Linked DNA regions of Caenorhabditis elegans. The protein of the gene in region 1 interacts with the protein of each later gene in a pairwise test. Each region holds a gene or a part of one and is shown in the gene's direction. Other genes may lie near its edges.

Evidence for each region.
Region 2: the proteins of cct-8 (region 1) and gstk-1 interact in a two-hybrid assay, tested with the Caenorhabditis elegans proteins (one large-scale study listed by BioGRID).

What each region holds. Positions count from the first base shown.
Region 1 is NC_003282.8:1,087,708-1,095,932, reverse strand, and holds the start of cct-8 (T-complex protein 1 subunit theta), read left to right. Parts: upstream 1-2,012; 5' UTR 2,013-2,019; coding exon 2,020-2,167; intron 2,168-2,229; coding exon 2,230-2,366; intron 2,367-2,418; coding exon 2,419-2,493; intron 2,494-3,758; coding exon 3,759-4,265; intron 4,266-5,817; coding exon 5,818-6,052; intron 6,053-6,645; coding exon 6,646-6,999; intron 7,000-7,930; coding exon 7,931-8,121; 3' UTR 8,122-8,225. Other genes in the region: Y55F3AR.2 (Thioredoxin domain-containing protein), read right to left, coding at 971-1,226, 1,289-1,383. UniProt on the Caenorhabditis elegans protein: Molecular chaperone; assists the folding of proteins upon ATP hydrolysis. Known to play a role, in vitro, in the folding of actin and tubulin. Required for correct subcellular localization of pgl-1.
Region 2 is NC_003280.10:9,654,742-9,658,263, forward strand, and holds gstk-1 (Glutathione S-transferase kappa 1), read left to right. Parts: upstream 1-1,947; 5' UTR 1,948-2,007; coding exon 2,008-2,076; intron 2,077-2,258; coding exon 2,259-2,720; intron 2,721-2,771; coding exon 2,772-2,921; 3' UTR 2,922-2,978; downstream 2,979-3,522. Other genes in the region: ZK1307.1 (Amidinotransferase), read right to left, coding at 1-198, 252-327, 385-677, 782-790; ZK1320.2 (uncharacterized protein), read right to left, coding at 3,208-3,270, 3,316-3,393, 3,477-3,522.

The sequences.
Region 1 (8,225 bases):
AAATCTCGTGCTTTTCGAGCAAACCCACGGAAAATTGAAATTTTTTCAGATTTTTGGGCGTAAGTGTTGCATTTTTAGGCGACAATTGTGATTTTCTGAGCCAAAATCTTGAAAATTACCAATTTGGTGGAAAAATACGATTTTTTTTTTTTTGAGAAAATTAAGCTGAAAATTGAGCTTTTTGGTTGAAAAATGTGATTTTCCGAGCAAAAAACAAGAAAATTGAGAATTTTTGGGCAGAAATTGATGATTTTCTGAGCCAAAATCTTGAAAATTGCCAACTTTTTGGCTAAAATTAGGGTTTTTGGGGTGTGAATTGTAATTTTTGTGCGAAAATTTGGAAATTATGGGGTTTTTAAGTGAAATTTCAAGCAAAATAGCCGATTTTTTGCGTGAAAATTCAATTTTTTCTTGAAAAATTCGATTTTTCGCTGAAAAATGGATTTTCAACTTCAGCGAATAAAAATGTGTCAAAATCCGGTTTTAGGTCGAAAATTTGGGCTTTTCCACAAGAAAATCACAAATTTTCCGGAATTTTTCGTCTTTAAACTGGAAGTGTTAAGCTTTTTTCGTGAAAAAGTGAAAATTTGGGGCTAAAACTCAATTTTCGGATGAAAAATCGTCGTAGTAAAATTCAATTTTTGCATGAAAAAATACGAAATCTGAAGAGAAATATTTTTTCTGCTGATTTTGACGAAAATGCGAAAAATTTTGAGTTTTCTCGAGCAAACCCACATAAAATAGGTAATTTTTGAGTGAAAATTGCGATTTTTCGAACCAAAATCTTGAAAATTGCCAACTCTTGGGCTAAAATTAGGGGGTGTGGAGAGTAAATTGTGAATTTTTAAGCGGAAACTGTCTAAAAAATTGGGCATTGTCAGAGAATTGCGGGAAAATTCAGCCTTTCTGAGCGAGAAAAGTCATTTTTCAGGTAAAAAATTCAGTTTTTTCTCCGATCTTCTCTACGAACTTGTCCAGTTCCAGACCATGCGGCACTAGTCGACGCATATTTAGCCACCATACTCCTCAGTCCACTCTCATCGGCTCCTTGAATCGTCGCCTTCTTCTGCCCGTTCACAAATGCGATAAATGTGGGCATTGCGTTGACGCCGTACGTGGCGGCAGTTCCACGGCACTCATCCACGTCAACTTTTAGAAAAACGGAGCCTTTGTATTGATTGGCCAAGTCGCTGAAGATCGGCGCAATGTACTGGCATGGGCCGCACCTGGAGAATATAGAAAGATATATTTATGCTTAAAACACTGAAAATCCCTTGAAAAGCCTTACCAGGATGCTGTAAAATCCACAAAAACCGCTTTCCCGTTGCCCGCGGAGAACTTGCGGTCAAAATCCGAATCTCCATTGACAACTATTACTGGCATTTTCTGAAAAATTAGTGAAAAATTAATTGTTTTATTTATTTTCCACAAAAAAATTCAAAAAAAAACCTTGAAAACCACTTTAAAAATTAAAAAATCCAACAAAAAAAATAAAAAAATTGTTGTCAAGTCCGCAATGACACCGAACTTGACGCGCAAATGGTGTACACACATCAAAATCCACCGTACCCCACATCTCCCGTGGCGGCAAATCGCGGCGGGACCCGCCAGCAATTTCAATGCTCGCGAATTTTCCGAATTTCAAATTTTGTTCGCCGCTTCCAGTGTTTTCCATGAAATTTCTTTAGTTTTTCGCCGAATTTCTTGGTTTTTCAAGCAAAAATCGTGATTTTCAAGCTTAAAATCGGTGAAAAACGTGGGAAATTGGGCCAGAAAACCGGAAATTGGGTTAGATTTCCCATTTTGAAGTGTTTTGTCATCGTGAAGTTTCTCAAAGTGAATTTTGCCGTATTTATATTATTTTCTGAAGTTTTCAAGCTGAAAAAACAACTAACAATCTAAAAATCCTAAAATTTAGACCAAAATCTCTAAAACTTCACCTAAAATTGCTCATTCTTACTCAATTTTTACACAATTTTTCGATTTTGCCCCTAAAATCTAATAATTTGCAGGTAAATCATGGCTATGAAGATCCCAAAGTCCGGTTACAACCGGTTCATGAAGGAAGGAGCTCAGCACTTCAAAGGAACCGACGAGGCTGTTCAGAGGAATATCGAGGCCTGTACGGAGCTCGCTTCGCAGATTCGATCGGCCTACGGACCAAATGGTACGGAAAATTGCAGAATTTCACATTAAATATATGATTTTTCCCCAATTTTCCCACTTTAGGAATGAACAAAATGGTGATTAACCACATCGAGAAGCTCTTCGTCACCAACGACGCCGCCACCATCCTCAAGGAGCTCGAAATTCAGCATCCGGCCGCCCGTATCATCATTATGGCCACCGAGATGCAGGAGAAGCAGGTTTTTCAATAGAAAAACTGGAAAATTTAAATTTAAATGGGAAAAATTACAGATCGGAGACAACACGAACACCGTTGTGATCTTGGCGGCCGCTTTGTTGGAGCACGCTGCGAATCTCATCCATATGGTACTGGAAAACGTTGATTTTTGTCGAAAATTGTGGAAATTTGCTCGAATTCCTTGAAAAATGGGGTTTTTTAATCTAAAAATCCTCCAATTTATATATTTTGTCACTTAAAAGTGCCCAAAGTTCATGAAAAATCGCTGAAAAATCGATTTTTCACGCTTTTCTCAGCGAAAATTATAGATTTTTCGAGAGAACACTGCCAAAAAGTCGTTTTTGCTTGTTTTTAAGCATTTCCCGCAAAAAAGATACCAAATTTTGCTATCTTGAATATAAAAATCCGATTTCCAGAGATTTTTGCGCATTTCTCGCTAGAAACCCCAACATTTCGAAAAGTTTCAACTAAAAAGTGCCGAAAATGCAATTTTCAGCTAGTTTTCAAGCTTTTTTCTTACATTTCACTCGAAAATCCTCAAATTTCGCTTTTTTTTTTCGGCGGAAAAATGTCGAATTCACTAAAAAGTTTACAAATTATTCGATTTTTCGCGTTTTTTTTCAAGATTTTTTATTGAAAAATCCCAAATTTTCTCCATTTTCAGCTAACTTTCCTCATTTCTCGCGGAGAAAATACATTTTCACATCATTTTTATGCAAAAAATGCTATTTTTCTGCTGAAATTATCTAATTTTCCTTTTAAATAATCGCGAAAATTCAGTTTTTCAGCTTTTTTTTCGAGATTCTTCTCATTTTCAAGTAAAAATTCCAATTTTTTAAAAAATGTTTTTGATGCTTAATTGATCCATTTCAGGGTATTCTTGACCCAACAATTTTAGAAAAACGCTATTTTTTGACTAATAATCGGTTTTCCTTGGGAAAAATTTCCAAAAAATCAATTTTAAACTAGTTTTTGAGCAAAGAATATTTAATTTCCGAACATTTTCTCACACAAAACCCCCGAATTTTTTTGATTTTTCTTGGAAAAATTACCTAAAATTCATATTTTTATGCATAAAACTGCAAGTTTTCACTCAAAAACGTCAATTTTCCAGGAAATGGCACCAAAAACATCCAATTTGCGAGATTTTTCAGCTAAAAAATGTAATTTTCGGATGAAAACGGTCAAAAATTCAGATTTTTTTACTTACTTTCAAGCTTTTTGCTTTCAATTTTCACTCAAAAACCTTCAATTTTCGATATTTACCAAGTAAAACCCCAAAAAATTGATTTTCGGCGTTTTTCAAGCAATTTTGACAAATTTTCCAGTAAAAAAAACCGCCAAAAATTCAATTGTGCATCCAATTTTGCATAAATTTATCCAATTTTTCCAGGGAATGACACCACAAGAAGTCGCTGCCGGATACGAGCAAGCCGCCGAGAAAGCCCTCGAAATCCTGCCAACATTGGTTGTAAAAGAGGCTACAGATATGAAGAATATCGAAGAAGTCCGTCAATATATTCGTTCAGCAATCACCTCAAAACAGTACGATAACGAGGATATTATCGCTGATTTGGTGGCAAAAGCGTGTGTAACCACGTGCCCGGCCAACAGTTTCAACTTCAACGTTGATAATATCAGAATCTGCAAGATTATTGGCTCAGGAGTTCATACTTCAACAGTTATGAACGGAATGGTCTTTAAACGTGGAGCCGAGGGAGAAATTCGTGAAGCTCGCGACGCTAGAATTGCAGTTTATACTTGTCCATTTGACTTGACTCAGACTGAAACTAAGGGAACTGTTCTTATTGAGAATGCTGATGAGCTTAGGAACTTCTCCAAGGGAGAGGAAGCTGAAGTTGAAGAGCAAGTTAAAGCTATTGCTGATAACGGTGTTAAGGTAAAAATTTGAGCTTAAAAAGAGAATTTTGCCCCAGAAAACTCAATTTTTCCATAAAAATCGCGGTGTTTGGCTTTAATTTTCTATTTTTTTTTTTCGGCTGAAAGGATAAATATAGACTTAAAACGGGAATTTTCACTTCGAAAATTCTTAAATTCTCGTACAAAAGCTGAATTTTTCGCTAAAATTTCTCGTTTTTTGGCTGAAATGAGCTTCTCTGAGGCAGATATAAGAAATTCTGGAATGTATATTTTAAAAACGACCTGAAAACGGGAATTTTGACTGAAATTTCTTGCTTTCATGCTAAAAATTTTGTCTTTTGTGCCAAAAATGGTAAAATATGCAGCGAGAAGCTCAATTTTGGCTAAATTTTGGCTTATGAACTTCTCCAAGGGAGAGGAAGCTGAAGTTGAGGAGCAGCAGGTTAAAGCTATCGCTGATAACGGTGTTAAGGTAAAAATTTGAGCTTAAAAAGGGAATTTTGACCCCTAAAACTCAATTTTTCGATGAAAATCGCGTTTTTTCGGATAAAAAAGATGAAATTTGACTTTCAACGTGAATTTTTACTCGGAAAATTCTTGAATTCATGATTTCTCTTTCTTTTTTTTTGGCTGAAATGAGCTTCTCCGAGGCTTTGTATAAGAAATTCCGGAGTTTTTATCTGAAAAATTAGCTGAAAACGGAAAGTTTGACGCTAAAAACTCATTTTTTTACTGAAAAGCTTAATTTTTCGGCTAAAACGATGAAGAGAAGCTCCTAAATTGCTTCTAAATTCCCAAAAAAAATTTTTTTTTAACCTAAATTTTGTCTGAAATTCCATGTTTTGCAACTAATTTTGCCGCCAGAAGCTTAATTTTTGGCTGAAATGTAGTTGTTTACCAAAAAAAATCCGCTAATTTCGCAGCGAAACAGTTAATTTTTGGCTTAAATTCATTTTTCCGGCTAAAAATGGGATTTTTCAATATCTGAAAAACAGATTTTACGCTGAAAAATGTCAATTTTCAGCTTGAAATCGAATTTTCTGGCACCAAAAAAGTGATTTTCTCAGTAAAACCGCAATTTTTAACCTAAAAATGTTGGGTTTTCAGTCTAAAAACACAATTTTTCCTCCAAAATTCTCGTTTTTCCAGGTCTTTTTGCAGGTTTTGCAGCTGAAAAAAATGTGAATTTTGATTATAAAAATTGTCATTTTTAGGGACTAAAAATTTGAGATTTTGTTGCTTTTTAGTCGAAAAATGCTACATTTTCAAAAGAAAAAAGCCCGTAAAATACGATTTTCCAAGTGAAAACTGGAGTTTTCATCTAAAAAGTGTGATTTTCTGCCTGAAAATTACATTTTGAACTGAAAAATGTGATTTTTCGGGTTGGAAATTCGGTTTTAATGCCAAAAATTGGACTTTCCTCAGCTTACAATATGATTTTCGAGCTCAAATATACATTTTTCAACAGAAAATGACAATTTTCAGCCAGAAAAATGTGATTTTCTTGCTAAAAATTCAATTTTTTACGCCCAAAAATTCAATTTTCCCTAAAAAAGTTCCCTATATTTCAGGTTGTCGTCGCCGCTGGAAAGTTCGGAGACATGTACCTCCATTTCCTGAATAAATACAAAATTATGGCCGTCCGTCTTACATCAAAATTCGATCTTCGCCGCCTCTGCCGTACCGTCGGAGCTCAACCACAAGCAAGAATCTGTGCTCCAGCTGTTAATCTGTTGGGACACTGTGATTCTGTGGCTGTTCAAGAGATTGGAGACGAAAATGTCGTCGTTTTCGATAAGAAATCGGGTATATAATGTGGAAAAACTGAGAATTTAGGAAATTTTGACCCCCAAAACGGGAATTCTCCGATTTTTTGTAATTTTTAGCTCTGGAAACCTTTTAAAAAAACGATTTGGCGAGTTTTGACTCAAACAAGTATGATTTTTACAATGTTAGACCAAAAAATTCGGAATTTTCGACGGTTTTCAGTCGAAAATTGTGATTTTCGTATAAAACTGCGGAATTTGATGAGCTTAGACCAAAATTTCTACCGTTTTTACCTGAAAATTGTCACTTTTTAATGAATTTTTATTTCAAAAACGGCCTGTTTTTGAAGATTTGGACTCCCACGAGGTGTTTTTCACCGATAATTTGCCATTTTCTGTGAATTTTCACTTGAAAACTGAAATTTCAGCTGAAAATTCCGGTTTTTTACTTAAAAATTTAGATTTTTGAAAATTTTGCAAATAAAACCTCAAAATTTGAGCTGTAAATTCCCAATATTTTGGCCAAAAATTTACCATTTCAGCTGAAAATGTTAAAATTATCACTGAAAAAGCCAATTTTTAGCCAAAAATTCAAATTTTCAGCTTCAAATCTCAATTTTCTCAAATTTTCAGAAACCGGAAAAGTCGCCACAATCATAATCCGTGGATCCTCTCAATCTCGTATTGATGACGTCGAAAGAGCTGTCGATGATGCTGTAAACACCTATAAAGCTCTTACAAAAGACGGGAAATTGCTCGCCGGAGCCGGAGCCGTCGAAATTGAGCTCGCCAAAGAAATTGAGTCGTTTGGAGCAAAAGCACCTGGTTTGGAGCAATATGCAATCAAAAAGTTCGCCCACGCACTCGAAACTCTTCCAAAAGCTATTGCTGAGAACGCTGGAATGCCAACCACTGAAACTCTGACAAAACTCTACGCGGAGCATGTTGCTGGAAAGAAAAACGCTGGAATTGATATCTGGAAGCGGGGTACGGCTTGAAAAAACCCAATGAAAGCACTGAAAATTCGAAGAAAATCGAATTTTCGGTTTAAAATCTGACAATTTAGGTCGAAAAATGACTGGAAAACTTTAATTTTTGACTGAAAATTCAAAATTTTCTGCTGAAATTTACCGAAAACATTTCTAACTGAAAATTTGAATTTTCACCGGAATTCCGCTGTTTCTGCTGAAAATCTAACAATTTCGGCTGAAATTCGCCGAAAACCTAAATTTTCCACTGTAAATCCAATAATTTAGGTCGAAAAATGGCCGAAAAACTTGAATTTTACCTGAAAATGTGCATTTTTGACTGAAAATGTGACCGGAAACATCAATTTTCTTTTGTTTTGCTTCACTTTTTTAAAGTTTTCTTCAGTTTTTGCATTAAAATAACTGATTTTTCACAGCTGGAAACCCTCACAAAACCCGGAATTTTCGCTAAAAATAGGCAATTTTCAGTCAAAAGTCAACTGAAATTCTTCCAAAAAACGTCAAAATTTCCAAAAAAAATCCCCCAATTCCAGACAACACATTCAATTTTTGCTAAAAATTCCAAAAAAAAATATCAGCAAACTGACAGAAAATTTTCAAGTTTTAATCAAAATTGGCCAATTTTCCTTTTGAAAAACCTCAACTTTTCGGTTCAAGCTCAGAAAATTAGCTGAAAATCCGAAATTTTCAACTGAAATTTCTTTAAATCAACTCAAAAATGCAAAAAATTGAATGAAAAAATCGAAAACTCAGCCAAAAATCGGCCATTTTCAACTCTGAAAAATGCCAAATTTTCAGGTAAAAATTCCTCAAAACCCCCCGAAATTTTGGCTAAAAATGTCAATTTCCAGCGCATAAAACTTGTAAATTTTCAATCAAAATTCTGAAAAATCCCGAATTTTAAACTAAAATTCCTTCTTTTTTTTCAGAAACAATGGACGCCGTCGTCAACAACATTTTCGACCTCTACGCTGGAAAACGACTGGCAATTAAGCTCGCCACAGACGCCGCCAGCACAATTCTCAAAGTTGATCAGATTATTATGTCAAAGCAGGCGACTGGAGGACCAAAACCACGTGGACCAAAGGCTCAAGATGAGGATGACGATGGAATGGCCTAATTTTTTTGTGTGCATTTTTGCTGAAAAATTGGGGAAATTTGAGTGAAAATGAGCTGAAAATCGATTTTTCAGCGAAATTTTAGACAATTTTCCCCCACTTTTTC
Region 2 (3,522 bases), on another chromosome or scaffold:
GAGGGCGCTGGTCTCATCAACTGGAGCAAAACAAGTGTCCAAGTGATAAAAGTTTGGAAGAATCATATCACAGAGAACAATATCAAAAGTCCCGAGTGCCTTGATTTTCTCGTAGACAGACTTTGAACTACGCTCTCCATAACCAGCCCAAAGAGTTTTACGGTCAGAAAATACAGCATCTCCTCCGCCTTCGAAGATCTGAAATTTTATGTTTCAAAATGGAGAACAAAAATTCTCTGGCAAATTTATACCTCTTCATATCCTTCCCCAATAGTTTTGATATTGTTCTTCTTGAACCATTCCAAGTAGAGTGGTTGCTCACCGCTTCTGTAAAAACATAAAATGTTTCACACACAATTTCCTTTATTCTTTTTTCAAACTCACCTTTCCTTATGCCTGAATCTGGACAAGTAAACCTGATCATCATAGACCAATCCACTATTACAAACGAAAACTTGATCTGGAAGACCCTCTGTTTGCTCCATTGTCAAAACTGGAACACCAGCGTTTTCGATTGCAGATTTCAAAGAATTCCATTGCTGATGAGCTTTTTGCTTGTCAACAACTCCTCCCATCCATGGATTGATTGTGTATTCGACTGTGAAATGCTTTGGTGGAACCATCAACACTCTCTTCAGAATATGGGCAGCAGATTTTGCAGCAGACATTGTTTCAGACTGAAAATTCAATTGTTTAATTAGTTTTCAAAATCATTTTAACTCAAAAAGTAAAACCAGTGTTTCTAATTTCCAAACTGACAATTAAATAGGTCCAAACTCACATCAGACATTATTATATAGCAGGTTCAATATCAAATAACTATTGTTAATAGTCTACTCGAAATTGAAATGATGCACCGAGCTAACTAGTATCTTATCAGTTTTTATATTGATACGATTTGTTATCAAATATTGGTATAAAGGTGTTAGCAGCTAGTCTGCAAAAAGTTCAAACTTTCAAAAATTATAACACCTGACAAAAAATTTAAATTTTCAAACAATTTTTAGTCGTAACTTTAGAAATTTAACAAATATTCAAGGAGGAAGTTGAATGTTAAACTAGATAGTTCAAAAAGTAGAACCAAAAACGCGCGAGAAAATAAAAATAAAAGAATAACAATGTACACCCGTGGTCATTTTATTATCCTCCCTCCTTCTTCCCCGAACCCTTGTAAATCTTTCAATATGTCTTGATGGCCTTATTACGTCACAATACATATTGTGATTGCAGATCTTGATTGATAAAAATTCCAAATGAATTATGATCACAGGAAAAATGTTTTCTCGGTGTCAGGTGCCAGGTGTCAGGTGCAGGTACTCAAAAGACACCGGCAAATGAATTCCAAAGGTTTGTGCTTTGAAAAGCTCCAAAGATCCTTGCTATGCAAAATATGTCAATGGAAAAAGAAAATAAACATTTTTAAAAGAAAGCTTTTATGAAAATTCCATGTAAAAAACGCGAATTGGGACTTTCCAGGTATCCAGAAAAGCTTTAATTTTTGAAAGGTTAAGAAATTGATATACGCGTTTTCCAAATATCCAAGGTATTCTTGTAGTTTCCCCAATGCATCATTCAAACCAAGAGAGCTAGACGCAGAGAAACCAGATTGTCTGTCATCTCTGCGTATCTTTTTCCCGATACAAGCTACAGTGTAGTCTCACGGTGTGGAACAAGTCACCACGTTGCTTTACTTCTCTAGAACTATTATTTTCCCACGTTATTTTTGCATCTATCTTCATTTCCCACTTTCTTATCACTGCAAACCGAACATAGATCACAGTTCGTTGTCTCGAAAACTTATAAAACCACACGGTTGTTTGTGCAATTTTTATTTAATTTTTTAAACGGGTTCTCAAAGAAAAATTGCAGAAAATATAACTTTGATCTACTTTATCGTTCCCGCGAATATTTTTCAAAACATCTTTTCCAAATCTACACTCAACTTACGGATTTTTGTCTTGCAGATTTCCGTTCGCCGTGCCCAAAAATTCGAATTAATTTTGGAAAATGCCAAAACTTCCACGTATCGACTTTTATTTTGACGTGATTTCTCCGTACAGTTATATTGCTTTTGAGGTTGGTTTTTTTTATATACGATATTACATAAAAAACTGTGGTTGTACGCATGTGTCGATGGTTCTCTTATCCTAGGAAGTCAGGAATTTTTTTTGAACAGTGTTACGGTACAATAATATTTTTTAGTTTTAAAATTCGTAAATTTATTATAGTTATAGAAATTATGCAATGATAAATTGCAGGTCTTCCAAAAACTGGAAACCCAATGGAAAGGAGTAACAATCCGTTACATTCCATTTTTCCTCGGAGCCGTCATGAAAGAATCAGGAAATCGTCCTCCAGCAATGCTCCCAGCTCGATCAATTATGATGATGACTGATTTGAAGCGAACTGCAAAGTTCTGGGATATTCCATTGACTCCACCACCATTGTTCATGGAATGGATCAAAAAGTACCGTACTACTGGAGCAATGAAGGTTTTGTTGGTTTTGCAGGAGCAGGATAAGGAGCTGATGCTCCGAGCAGCTCGGGAAATGTGGGTCAGATTGTGGTCTCGAAGTGAGAAGATTTTTGAGGATCAAGACTTTGTGGAAGTATTGAAGGCAGTTGGTGTTAAGAATCCGGAGCAAATTGTGGAAAAGAGCAAGGATGAGAAATATATAAAGATTTTGATGGAGAATACGAATAAGGGAGTTGATTTGATGGTAAGTTATTCATCTTTGAATTAAAAAAAATTGGCAATTTTACTTTTTCAGGCATATGGTGCTCCATGGATCAATGTGCACACAGAAGATGGATCGGAGCATTCATTCTTTGGATCAGACCGTTTCCATTTGATTGCCGACCTTCTTCAACAGCCACAACCGCTTCCAGACCGACTTTTTGGCCAGAAATCAAAACTTTAAATATTTGTTGTAAGATAAGATGCGCTAAATATATGAATAAATTGGGTAAATATTTTTAATTAACTCTCTCTGAAACAGTCTGACAATCGACATAATCATAGATTCAAAAACTACAAAGAAAAATTCCAAAAAGATTTGAATCTAAAATCTTTTAGTTGGCTGCACTCTAGGTTACTTTTCAATTTTACGAACTGTAAAATATTCCAGAAAATTAATTATATGTTCAAAGTTTTATTCAAATTACATCTGCACTGTTAGTTGTGGGAAAAACCCAAAAAATCACAAATCAGTTGGCCTTGATCAATCCGGCGAACACTTGATACAAACCCCAGGTTCCATCCGGCATTTGCTGAAAGTAGAAAAGCTTTATCTACTTTAGATAATAAAAGTGTACCTTTTGGGCAAACTTCTCGCAGTAGTTCATATCTTGCTTGACATTGTCGGTTCCAATGACGCTTGGTGGAACTCCCATCTTAAATGGATAGGGTTAAAGTTCGGATTTGAATTTTTGGATTTTATCAGCAGTGAGCCAATTCTGATTCTGATATGACTTACATCATAGATGACATAAGCCCATCCTGGCTTATTGATATAGAAGTTG